3 linked regions of the Oryctolagus cuniculus genome follow. The protein of the gene in region 2 interacts with the protein of the main gene of each other region in a pairwise test. Links are inferred from orthologs where the notes say so. Each region holds a gene or a part of one and is shown on either strand. Other genes may lie near its edges. The genes, in order: TRIM23, AQP1 and RGS17.

Region 1 (3,841 bases), on a different chromosome or scaffold from region 2:
ACTCAAATTCATAATAGGTATTGGTAATCTATCCTGGAAATAGCTTCTCGCTTACCTGTAGAAATGAATGCTTTCTTAGATGAGTGACTAATGTCTCTTGTACATAATTATCAGTACATTTTCATGTAAAAGTCTGATTTGTTAAAAAAGATCATGGGCTTTTGTATTTTAAAATCTGTCATGTTATAATGATTGAATTCAGTTTTAAGACATTACTTTTTTGTTTGTCAGAGCATTATTCGTTGTGATGAAGATGAAGCTCATGTTGCATCTGTATACTGCACTGTGTGTGCAACTCACTTGTGCTCAGAGTGTTCCCAAGGTACTCATTCTACAAAGACTTTAGCGAAGCACAGGCGAGTGCCTCTAGCTGATAAACCTCATGAGAAAACCATGTGCTCGCAGCACCAGGTGCATGCCATTGAGTTTGTTTGTTTGGAAGAAGGTTGTCAAAGTAGCCCACTCATGTGCTGTGTCTGCAAAGAATATGGAAAGCACCAAGGTCACAAGGTATGAATCTAATTAAACTGAATGACTAGCTAGTTTACCAGCCCACCATTTGTTTTCATCTACCTGATCTTTATCCTAAAAGTAGAGGTTGAAGAAGAGATAAGGGAGGAATGTGTTAGGCTTTGCAGTGTATAAAGAAATGAGAGCTCTTTATTTCTGAATGTCAGAAAAATGTCAGAGGCCTCATGATTCTTTCTCTACTGAGAAATAGCTTTCTAGCAAGAAGGCAAAATTCTCTTCTTTGAGTTTGTGTTTTCATAATGTACTGGGTTGTTTTGTCAGTATGTAAGTTTATTGATGAACATTTCTTATAGTATAATTTTAGAGATTATCTCTAGGTTTCTTGTTTAGTGATAGATGGACTTCCAAATTTTAAATTATGTGCAGGAAAGTTTTCTTTTTTAATGAAGGAGTTAAAATGAATTCATATTGTTTAACTTCTTATATACATTTCTAAATGTGTTATAAAGGCCACTTGAGACTGATCTTTTTTGTCTTAATAGAAAGGTCTTAAATAATTTTTTAGTATCATTGGCCAATGCTGTGAGTTTTTTCCTATGGTTTTGTTGCATTTTATAGCATTCAGTACTGGAACCAGAAGCTAATCAGATTCGAGCATCAATTTTAGATATGGCTCACTGCATACGGACGTTCACTGAGGAAATAGCAGATTATTCCAGAAAACTAGTTGGAATTGTCCAGCACATTGAAGGTGGAGAACAAATAGTTGAAGATGGAATTGCAATGGCTCACACAGAACATGTATGGATTTCTTTCTTCCCCCTTTCCTTATCCTTTTTTTGTTCACACCTTTCCATTTTCTAGTAAGTATTTATTGAACGGTTAATGTGAATTCCGTACTGCATCAGTCACTGGAAATAAGTTTTAAAAAAAACCTGTTTTAATGGAATGTGTAATTCATCATGGAAGAAAGATAGTTTCAAGTGTGGTAACTTTTGTGGGTGGGAACTACAGGGTTCCTTGGCATGTATAACAAGGGCAACAATTTTTGTGTGTCAGGGAAAGCTTCCTAGAAGTGATTCTGAACTGCAATTTGCAGGAATGCAGTCAAGAGGAAGAGCAGGATAGGAGTGAGTTGCTCTGGAGAGGAACAGTATATTAAAATGCCTGGAAGTGAGGGTTAGGCTTCCTGTTAAAACTTAAGTTCACTGTGATTGGAACTTTTGAGTATTGAATGGAGCATGGCAAGAAGAGTTTGGAGAATTAAAGACTAAATCATCCATGATTTTGTCAGCCATATACAAGGGTTCAGAACTTAGCTTAAGGGCAGTGATGAGCCCCTGAAGATTTGACATAGAAATGGCACAATAATATCTGTATAAAGAAAGGTTGCTCTGAAATGTAGAAGATGAAGTGGAGGAGCAACAAGATTGGAAGCATGAAGATGTTGAAATGCCTAGTTCAAAAGTGCTTCTGTCCTATGATACTATGGTAGTGAAAATGGACAGAAGTACATGGATTTGAGACTTTAAAGAAGTCATATATATATATAAAATATGCATATAATATATATTTTAAATATTTATTTTTATTTATTTGAAAGATGGAGTTACAGAGAAAGCAGAAGAGAGAGAAAGAACATTCATTTACTGGTTCACTCCCCAAATGGCTGCAACGGCCTGGTCTGGGCCAGGCCAAAGCCAGGAGCCAGGAGCTTCTTCCTGATCTCCCACATGAGTGCAGGGGCCCAAGCAGTAGGGCCATCTTCCACTGCCTTCGCAGGCACATTAACAGGGAGTTGAATTGGAAGTGGAGCAGCTGGTCTCGAACCTGCTGTGCAGCAATGCTGGCTCCTTAAAGAAGTTTTAAAGAATTTGCCAAGGGATGAGTTGTAGTACATTAAAGAGAGATGTTAAGGTTAACTCCAGTTGTTTTTATTTCAACAACCTGGAGGATGGAAATGCCATTTACTGAGATGAAAGTAACTAGGGTTTGGGGATAGATTAGGTGTAACATTTTGCTGGAGATGCCATTTGTGAATACTTGGATGTCCACAGTCTATAGTTAAGGAGAAAAATCTAACATGGAGATTGAAAACTTGGAATTTTTGAGGGTATAGATGGTATGTAACTTTTTTCATCATTTCAGTTATAAAATCTTTGTTAACATTACAGTTGTTGAAAATTGTATTTCTTTAGGTACCAGGTACTGCAGAGAATGCTCGATCATGTGTCCGAGCTTATTTTTCTGATCTACATGAAACTCTGTGTCGACAAGAAGAAATGGCTCTAAGTGTTGTTGATGCCCATGTTCGTGAAAAGCTAATTTGGCTCAGGCAGCAACAAGAAGATATGACTATTTTGTTGTCTCAGGTTTCAACAGCCTGCCTCCATTGTGAAAAGACTTTACAGCAGGTAGGTAGGTAGGTTAAATGTTGTTAGGCTCTTTGTTGTGACATTAAGTAGATAATTACAGAAACTACACACTAGTCTGTTTTGTTGATTTAGTGTGTTCTGTCACGTGCATTAACGTTGTGCTTAGGACATGATCTCTAATTTGAAATTGCTACACCAGCCACATCAGCATCCTTTCCTTCAGTACCTTCCTCCCATAACGTTACGGATTCCAGAAGCCCTCAGGCTTCATTTCATTCTTCAGTGCTGCCAAGCCCTTTCTTACTTTTCATGTCAGGTGTATACTCTTCTTTCTGCTTGGAGTGCCTCTGTCTTTTCATTTTCTCTCTTTCTCTCTCTCTCTCTCTTCTCTCTCTCTTTCTCTCTCTCTTTCTCTCTTTCTCTCTCTTTCTCTCTTTCTTTCTCTTTCTTTCTCTCTCTTTCTTTCTCTTTCTCTCTTTTTCTTTTCTTTTCTTTTCTTTTCTTTTCTTTTCTTTTCTTTTCTTTTCTTTTCTTTTCTTTTCTTTTCTTTTCTTTTCTTTTCTTTTCTTTTCCCTCCCTCCCTCCCTCCCTCCCTCCCTCCCTCCCTCCCTCCCTCCCTCTCTCTCTCTCTCTCTCTCTCTCTCTCTCTCTCTCTCTTTCTTTCTTTCTTTCTTTCTTTTTGACAGGCAGAGTTAGACAGTGAGAGAGACAGAGAGAAAGGTCTTCCTTTTTCCGTTGGTTCACCCTTCAATGGCCGCTGTGGCCGGTGCACTGCGCTGATCCGAAGCCGGGATCCAGGTGCTTCTCTTGGTCTCCCATGTGGGTGCAGGGCCCAAGCACTTGGGCCATCCTCCACTGCACTCCCAGGCCACAGCAGAGAGCTGGCCTGGAAGAGGGGCAACCGGAACAGAATCCGGTACCCCGACCGGGACTAGAACCCCGGGTGCCGGAGCTGCAGGCGGAGGATTAGCCTAGTGAGCTGTGGCACTGGCCGC
Region 2 (3,582 bases):
ACCCATCCTCAACCTGGTGGGCACAGGAATGGTTTGCATGGGCAGTGATAGCTCTGTGCCCCAGCGCAGGTGACCCAGCACCCACCCCCCATCAGCCACACCTTCCCCAGAGGGAGGCAGGAATCAAGTGTCTCTCAGGAAGAGTGCTGGGGCATCGGGATCTTCCCACCCACTGTGCCCCTGTGGCCTGGAGAGACCCTGGGAGGTGACGGCCCCCTGAGCTTCTGTGGACGGCAGGAGCTTGCCCCGGCCTGTGCCCTGTTCTCAGCTCTCAGTTTACCACCAGAGTTGGCCCAATGAGGGGGAAGCAGCCCAAAGTGTGTGCACTGGGGCAGTGTCAGGAACCTAGGTATGACCCTGAACCTGACACTCATCTCACCGACTCAGAGGACTGAGTGTGTGTCCCCTGAGCCTCAGCCCCCTGGGGCACAGGGGCAGGTGGGGTCACACATGTGAGCTGAGGGCAGAGGGAGAGCACTATACGGGGCAGAGGGGATTAGTGGGGCTGCTGGACCTCAGCCCCGCCTTCCCCAGTCCTCCCACACTCCACAGTCAGAGATGGCTCCCACCACCCTGAGCAAACGGCCAGAACCCCTGCACCACTCAGCTGCCCCCAGACCTCCAGAGTGGTCCACTGAGCCCCGAACACTGCCTGCAGGGGTGGCGGTGGGGTGGGCGGGGCAGGACTCTGCACCCCTGCGGTGGGGTTCTGTGCTGAGGGTCCTGAGAGCAGGCGAGCAGGCAGGACCTCCCCAACCCTCCCTTGCAGACCCAGAACACCCCTGTAGGGACACAGCACCCCGGGGAGAAGAACCACAGGAGGCCAGCGGACTTTACGTGTCATTTCCTTTATTGACTTAACATACGTGAAATTCCAAATCCAGAGGCAGGTATGCAGAGCAGACAGATGCAGGGTCCTCGGCGCAGCAGCCAGAACCAGCAGGGAGTGGGCCTGCCCCTCTCCCCTCCCACGCGCCCCACCCCCACCCCCAGGCCCTGGTCAGTGCCCAGGCAGAAACTGGGAAGCTGCAAATGACAGGGGTCAGCCTCAAGCTCCAGGGAGTAGCCAGAGACATGGCCTTCATTGCTAGGCCTGGCCAAATCATCTAGCTGTGGGGGTCTTGGGCCTCAGTTTCCTCATCTGTTAAATGGCTGGAAGTTCCTGCTAGGGAATGGAGACATGCATGTGCACATGCCACATGCCAGTGACTGCTAAGGCCTCCTGGCTGTCCACCTGCGTCATTGTGTCTCTGGGTTTTCATTGCCACCCTGGCTATGGACACGCCAGGGAGCTGTTCTGGCCCTGGTGGAATTCAATGGACTCGAGCAGATAGCTGAGCGGAAGGACCAGCTCCCCAACTCCCACTGCTGACCTCTGCCCTCCAGGTCAGTGAGGAGGAAAGGATTTGTGGCCTGGGGTCCCAGAGTCAGGAAGCTACCCCGATGCCCCCCACCACACTCATGAACAAAGCAAGGGGGCTCCTCCCACTCAGGGCCAGTGGGGTGGGGGTCTGGCAGTGGCTGTGCCCCCAGGGGCTGCGCAAGGGGGCTCCTCCCACTCAGGGCCAGCGGGGCGGGGGTCTGGCAGTGGCTGTGCCCCCAGGGGCTGCTCAGGATAGGGGTCTGGCTGTCCCCGGCCTCCAGGCTTCAGGGAACCCAAGGTTCTTTAACGACACACTCACATCAGGGGCCTGTGTCCACACTGGCAAGGGAAGTGGAGAACTGAGATATGATGGCCACAGTGCAGCGGGCCATGGACATGACGTGGACATGGTGAAGGAACACAAGTGCCTGTCCTCTGCCCTCTAAATGACCTTCAGTCTGCAACAGCCAACCGCGACTTGGGAAGCCACTCCCTGGGGAGCAGCAGATCCAGAAACCTGTGCGGTGGGTGGACCTCTGCTCTGAAACCCATCTGCTTGTGCACAGGGGTCTACACTACACCTCCTGGAACCCATGACGTGTCTACACTTGCAGAATCCTAGAGAGGAACTCAGACCCACATGGCTCGCCCTGTCCCTGCTACTGTACAGATGGGGCCAGCTCCAAGTTCATGCAGCAAAAGCACAGTGGGAGGGTCCTGTGACCAAGGCAAATGGCAGGGGCAGGGCTTGTCTGCACACCCCCCGCCACTGCACCTGCTGGGATCTCCTTCCCAGCACTCCTGGGGGCAAGGTGCATGTTAGGAAAGGGGGGCCACTCCCAAAGGCACATAGCTTTGACAATAGAACCCCAGGCACCTGTGGCAGGTGAGCAGGTGAGCAACTCCGGATGAGGGGGACTGCCTGGCACCCCTCCAGGCCAGAAAAGGCTACACTCTGAGGGCCTCTCTTTCACCTCCTCCATGACATCAGGGGAGTGGGGCAACTGGTAAACCTTGGTCACCAAGAAGCTCCGAGGCCAAGAAACAGAGACAGAGAAAGAAAGTTATATGGACACCCCTAAATGAGGCCTGACCCCGACGGCAGGTCCACTCAGGGGAGTGCCTTTGGCCAGCTTGTCAGAGTGTCTGTAATACGGATTTCAGCCCACCCGCCCTCCACCCCCCCAAACCCGCACCCCCCAGGTCGGTGCCTGGGCCTGGCCCCTCTATTTGGGTTTCATCTCCACCCTGGAGTTGATGTCATCGCCGTCCAGGTCATACTCCTCCACCTGGCCGCTGGTCCACACCTTCATGCGATCCGTGAGGTCGCTGCTGCGCGGCGCCAGGATAAAGTCGTAGATGAGCACGGCCAGGGCGCCCCCGATGAATGGCCCCACCCAGAAGATCTAGGAGCAGAGTGGGCAGGCTCAGAGGGCGTCCAGCTCTTCCCAGCCTCCCCCACTGTGAGGGCCCAGCAGGTAAGATGCTGGCCTGGACCCTGCACAGCAGCCATCGTCACAGCGAAAGCCCATCGGGCGCTCCCTGTGAGCTGAGCTCGGCCTGCAGGTGTGCCAGTGAGTGCCTGCCTTCTCCGCCCCGCAGCCCTGCTTGGGGAGGGACCACTGTGAACCCACTTCACAGCTGGGGAAGCCACCGCACCAGGAGGCAAGCACCTGCCCCAGGCCACGCTGTATCAGGCAGGGCAGGACTCAGACCCGCTCTCAGCCATGCTGCTGGAGTGACTTGTGGGCCGGACAGGGCAGGGTGGGTCTAAGCTGGGAGGGAGAAGCCAGTCCTAGAACTGCCCACTGTGTGACCCCTCGTGGCCCCGCTGTCTCCCAGACCTCTGTGTAGGGAAAGCAGGATGTGAGGTGGGCTCAGGCTTGCCGCAGATGCTAGTGCCTCCCACCCACCCCCGCCCCAGGCGGCCCCCACAGGGGTCACTTACCCAGTGGTTGTTGAAGTTGTGGGTGAGCACCGCCGAGCCGAAGGACCGAGCAGGGTTAATGCCACAGCCAGTGTAGTCGATCTGGGGGTTGGGGAGACGGACAAGGGGAGAGGAAGAGGAAGAAGAGGGAAGGCGGGACCCGGCAAAGAAGGGAGAGGAATGAAGAGACAGGGCAGGGGCAGAGACAGGTGCAGGGGAAGCGACAGGAGAGCGAGGTGGGGGAGAGCGCGAGTCAGACACAGAAGCACCGAGGGACACCGGCCCAGAAAGC
Region 3 (4,603 bases), on a different chromosome or scaffold from region 2:
GGGGTGAGGACATCCTAACCCATGTCATAACTGCTAGGCTAAATGCTCACCTTAGGCTGATAACATTGTTTTTAATTTGAGAGGCAGAGAGACAGAAAAAGGGAGGGGGGAAAAGGAGGGAGATATAAGGAAGCAGAAATTGATGGGTATCGAAGCCAGGTACCAAACCCAGGTACTGTGATGGTGGGACCCAGTCATCCCCCCTGGTGTTTTAACAGCTATACCAGCACCTGTCCCAGATGGCTTTTTTTTTTTTTTTAAGATTTATTTATTTGAAAGTCAGAGTTACCTGAGTTACCTAGAGAGGGAAGGAGAGGCAGAGAGAGAGAGAGGTTTTCCATTGGTTGGTTCACTCCTCAGTGGCTGCATTGGCCAGACGTGTGCCAATCTGAAGCCAGGAGCTTCCTCTGGGTCGTCCCAGGCAGATGCAGGGGCTCAAGAACTTCAGCCATCCTCCCCTGCTTTCCCAGGCCATAGCAGAGAGCTGGATTGGAAGTTGAGAAGCTGGGTCTTGAACTGGCACCCATATAAGATGCAGGCACTGCAGGCAGCGGCCTTACCCACTATGCCACAGTGCTGCGTCCCTCAGGTTGCCTTTAGACATGCCTATAAGCAATTGTTTTCCTGTCTTTGAAGATGGCTTATTCAGAACTCTTGTCTAGGTGTCTATTGGTGTTCTCATATATTTTTCTTATTTGTGTGTTAATTTTTAAAGTAAACAAGGAAAGGAAATGCTTAGTGTGAAAGAAAACAGAGATCACTTTGTCTAAATCAGAAGGGCTGGAAATGCATCTGCCAAGGGATCAGGACTGCCGTGGTATTCATAATGTATTGCTACTATGCCTACACTTTCCAACTTGTACAATTCCTTTAGAAGGGTCAAGTTTGTATGTGAAGATTACCCAGGTTTCCATGGGTTGTTTCCGTTTGTTGCCATTGTTACAGGAGTCCAAGTTTCCTAAGATGAAGGGCGTTGAGAGAAAAGATGGGAGTACAGGGAGAACTTTTTGAGACATTAATTGAGATATCTCATCACAGTTGCATCTATTAATTATGAAACTGTGAAATTAATATTATATCCTACCTCAAATTTTAATGCATATGTGACATCAAATATTTAAAATATAAGAATTTTGTGTTTGCAATGCTTCACATGATTCAGTGGTCTTTTAAGCTCCTGATTTTGACTTTTTAAACTCTATAACATTTGACAAATTTGGTTTCCAAGCTTAATTAACTTGGAAAACCTATGAAGTCCCTTAGGTATGAAACTACCTAGCGAGTGTAAAATTTTATAATCATTGGAGGTTCCAGTTTCTTAAATATGGTACTATTTCAGGTATTCAGATTCAATGAATGCAGAACTTACAGTGAGTGGGAAGTCCCTATAGGAAGATCAGTAAGCTGTGGTGGAAAATAATATCTCATTTCAAAGACAACGGGATTTGAAAAGTTACTCTGCTATTTACTAGATATATAGGATTTCTCAAGAAAACTAAATATTTCATAATAGGAATTCTAACATGAGCAATGAACATCTGAAATCTCTCTGTCTTACACCTTGTAGGTGAAGTTTTCTTTTAAATCTTTGTGTCAATAGATGTAATTTTATTATAGACAATGAGTATGGGTTCACAAAGCAAATATTTACTTCCTTATATTGGGTCACATGGCCTTTTCATAGTACTGCTGATTGGTTATTGAATATACTGGTTAGAATTTAAGAGCTGTAGCATTGCAGTAAAACAGACACAACCCAAGGGGAATCATGACATACATGAAATGAGCAGGTAAGTGTTGACTTTGTTCTGCAGTGCTTCTCATTGGGAGTTACATTAGGAAAAATTCTTTTCTGAAAGCTGACAATACTTTATTTTCAATCTTGAACGTTTGGGGCTTATTTTGGGCAGTGATCTACTTTGGAGATTTTAAGAATCAGTTTTGTCTCTAAGAAGACCACTCCATGTCTCCTTTTTTCTCTCGATGGTTTTATGTTTTCAGGATTCAGTTAACCAAAATCAACAAATATTTGCCAGTCTGCTATGTGAGAAGCTGCAGTCCACAGGATTAATTAGACAATGTGAAAAAGCGTGTGGATAATTGCCCTTCAAAGAAAGAGACTTTTAAAGCAAAGAATGTAATTTGGTAGACAGAGATCAAGTTTTGGATTAAAATAACCAAAGGTTTTCTTCAATTCTTTGACCATTGGTCTCATTACCTTTAAAACCCAAAAGTGTTTAAGAATGAAATGAAGTTGTTTATAAAAATCCTTCATATATTGACAGTAACTATGCATGTTTTTGACACTATGTTGAGCTAAATAAAATAAATATAATAAACATTGTTTAGAGAATAAATACTTGAGATTTTAGTTAATTGCTGGTGTTTGTCTTAATGAATGGGTCCTTATTAATGTTGAAGTTGCTGTCCATGTGTTCTGTGTTATCCTTTCCTGAGTAGACGAAGAAACCAGTTAAATGAACATTCGTGAATGAATGTTTTTGAGTACCTGCTCTGTGTTAGGCTCTATGGTATGACTTTTGAATGCAATGGTCAATTAAACATGAACCCTTTCTATAAGGAGTTCACATATAAGCTTCTTCAACATATTATTACTTTGCTTTTATCTAGTTATGCTAACCTTAGAAGTCATAATTAAATACAACATTTCTCTAGGGTTTAGCAATTTAGGGGAATTAACCTCAAAATTTAGGAGCCTCTACCTCTCAAGTGCAAGCAGGCTGCAAAGCAGAGGCTCAGAGAAAGAAGGCAACAGGCAGTGGATCTGCTGGTGAGAGACTTAACAACCTCCATTAGAACATCAAAACAGCTAAAGACTGGAGGCTTAGGACTTTTGGGAAGTTACAAATTGGGAGAACCACACTTCACTGTCATTAATGTAAAGGGAATGTCTGCGTGCAACTGTACTGTGCTTTTCCTCTCACTTAAAGGCTTCCGTGGGTGGTGATCATAATATGAGTCAAGGCAGATGAAAATGGTGGTGGTAGGGCATGTGCAATGGAGACAGAAGAAGTCACAGCCATGCCCTTCCTTAGGGTTCATGTTTTGCTTCTGTGCTACTATCTTTCATAGTAATCTTGTGATAATACACTACACTGGCCAAAAGGCCTGGATACTCTTTTCAGATATATACATATATCTGATATATATATATATATATATACACACACACATATATATATAAAAAACTTGATTTTGGAAAGATGAACTCATCTTCAACATCAGCTTGTTGAAATCACTAGGGTGAATTCTAAACCCAGCAACTAGGTTTACTCTAATCCAGGAAGATTTAGTATCATTCATAGAATCTGAGTAAAGTCATCAAATCCTCCCTAACAATATGTTATGAATGTACATTTATGTTGCCTGTCTATGGTGATGAAAGACGTTGACATCAGGAATGAATTATCTTGAAGGTGTGCTAAACCCACATGTAAGCCACTAAATTTAACATGCTTGTCATTACACCTTTGACTGGGCTGTTAATGAATAACCATGTGAGCCACTTTGAGGTTTGAACCTGTTTCTTTTTCAATTTATTTCCTCTCAGCTCTACCGTATGGCATTTGTGACCTGTATGTTTAGTATGACCAAGACTTACCAGATAAAAACAAAGAAAAATGAGTGTCTCTTTTGAGGGTACTATGCTATGCAACACTATTTAAAAAATAATACAGTGATTTACATAATCTACAAACTGGTGTGACTGACTGAATGCTATATTGTGAAGTGTAGTAGTCAATACTCCACATGAATTGCAGTGTTAACATTTTTCCTAACTAGTGTTAGAATGAAGCTTGATATTTGATCTCCCTTTTTATTTTATCAACAGTATCAATAGAATTTGTAAATAGATATGTGAGAAGAAAGGAGTATAGATAGTTCTCATACAAAAATTGGTGTTTGTCATTATATTTATCTTAGAATATGTACATTTCTCCATAATTTATAATATATCATGAACTCATGTTCAATCTGTCAGGAAAAAAAAATCTCTGCTGTTTTATTCTCTTCTGGTAGTCATGGATTAACTGCCTTGCTTGTCATATCTGTGCTAGTTTATGAATAAATAATGTCTGTAATCTTGATTCAAGCCATTAGAGCCATGTTTTCTTCATCTGCTAATGTACAATAACGTCAGTTTTCACTGTTGAAATCTTTTTGATGAAATTACTTTTAAGTAATCTCCGGGTCTAATGACTCACCTGTATTTATATTAATTATGGATTTAGTTGAAAGTTATGCATGTATTACTTTTAAACCCCAAAGATAGAGAAGTCCTTTATACACTGCAGAGTTTAATATTTTGAAAAGATGATCTGTGTGGAACTGTATGCACGTATTTGTGTGTGATTCCTGTCTGTATTCATGGGGTGAGAGTGGGGAACTGCTGGCCTGCCTGCATAATCATTGGCAAATATTCAGGAGAAAAGGATGCGTACTGCTGAACACAGGTGGAGGTGTCAGTGAGACAAGAAAGTCAAGTAACAAGTAGGAAGGCTGCACTCAGAATACAAAATGATTAGCTGAAAGCTCATTATACCTTAAGATATAATACATGCAATATGGTATTATATAACTG

Evidence for each region.
Region 1: the proteins of AQP1 (region 2) and TRIM23 interact in binary tests that used the Homo sapiens proteins (3 or more experiments, as listed by UniProt). The two-hybrid records come from large-scale screens. The link is inferred for Oryctolagus cuniculus from reciprocal best matches to the Homo sapiens genes AQP1 and TRIM23.
Region 3: the proteins of AQP1 (region 2) and RGS17 interact in binary tests that used the Homo sapiens proteins (3 or more experiments, as listed by UniProt). The two-hybrid records come from large-scale screens. The link is inferred for Oryctolagus cuniculus from reciprocal best matches to the Homo sapiens genes AQP1 and RGS17.

What each region holds. Positions count from the first base shown.
Region 1 is NC_091445.1:86,561,913-86,565,753, reverse strand, and holds part of TRIM23 (E3 ubiquitin-protein ligase TRIM23), read left to right. Parts: intron 1-231; coding exon 232-510; intron 511-1,089; coding exon 1,090-1,272; intron 1,273-2,669; coding exon 2,670-2,885; intron 2,886-3,841.
Region 2 is NC_091447.1:22,134,675-22,138,256, reverse strand, and holds the end of AQP1 (aquaporin-1), read right to left. Parts: intron 3,393-3,582; coding exon 3,312-3,392; intron 2,770-3,311; coding exon 2,590-2,769; 3' UTR 833-2,589; downstream 1-832. UniProt on the Homo sapiens protein: Forms a water channel that facilitates the transport of water across cell membranes, playing a crucial role in water homeostasis in various tissues.
Region 3 is NC_091436.1:14,661,670-14,666,272, forward strand, and holds the start of RGS17 (regulator of G-protein signaling 17), read left to right. Parts: upstream 1-1,615; 5' UTR 1,616-1,782; coding exon 1,783-1,790; intron 1,791-4,603. UniProt on the Homo sapiens protein: Regulates G protein-coupled receptor signaling cascades, including signaling via muscarinic acetylcholine receptor CHRM2 and dopamine receptor DRD2.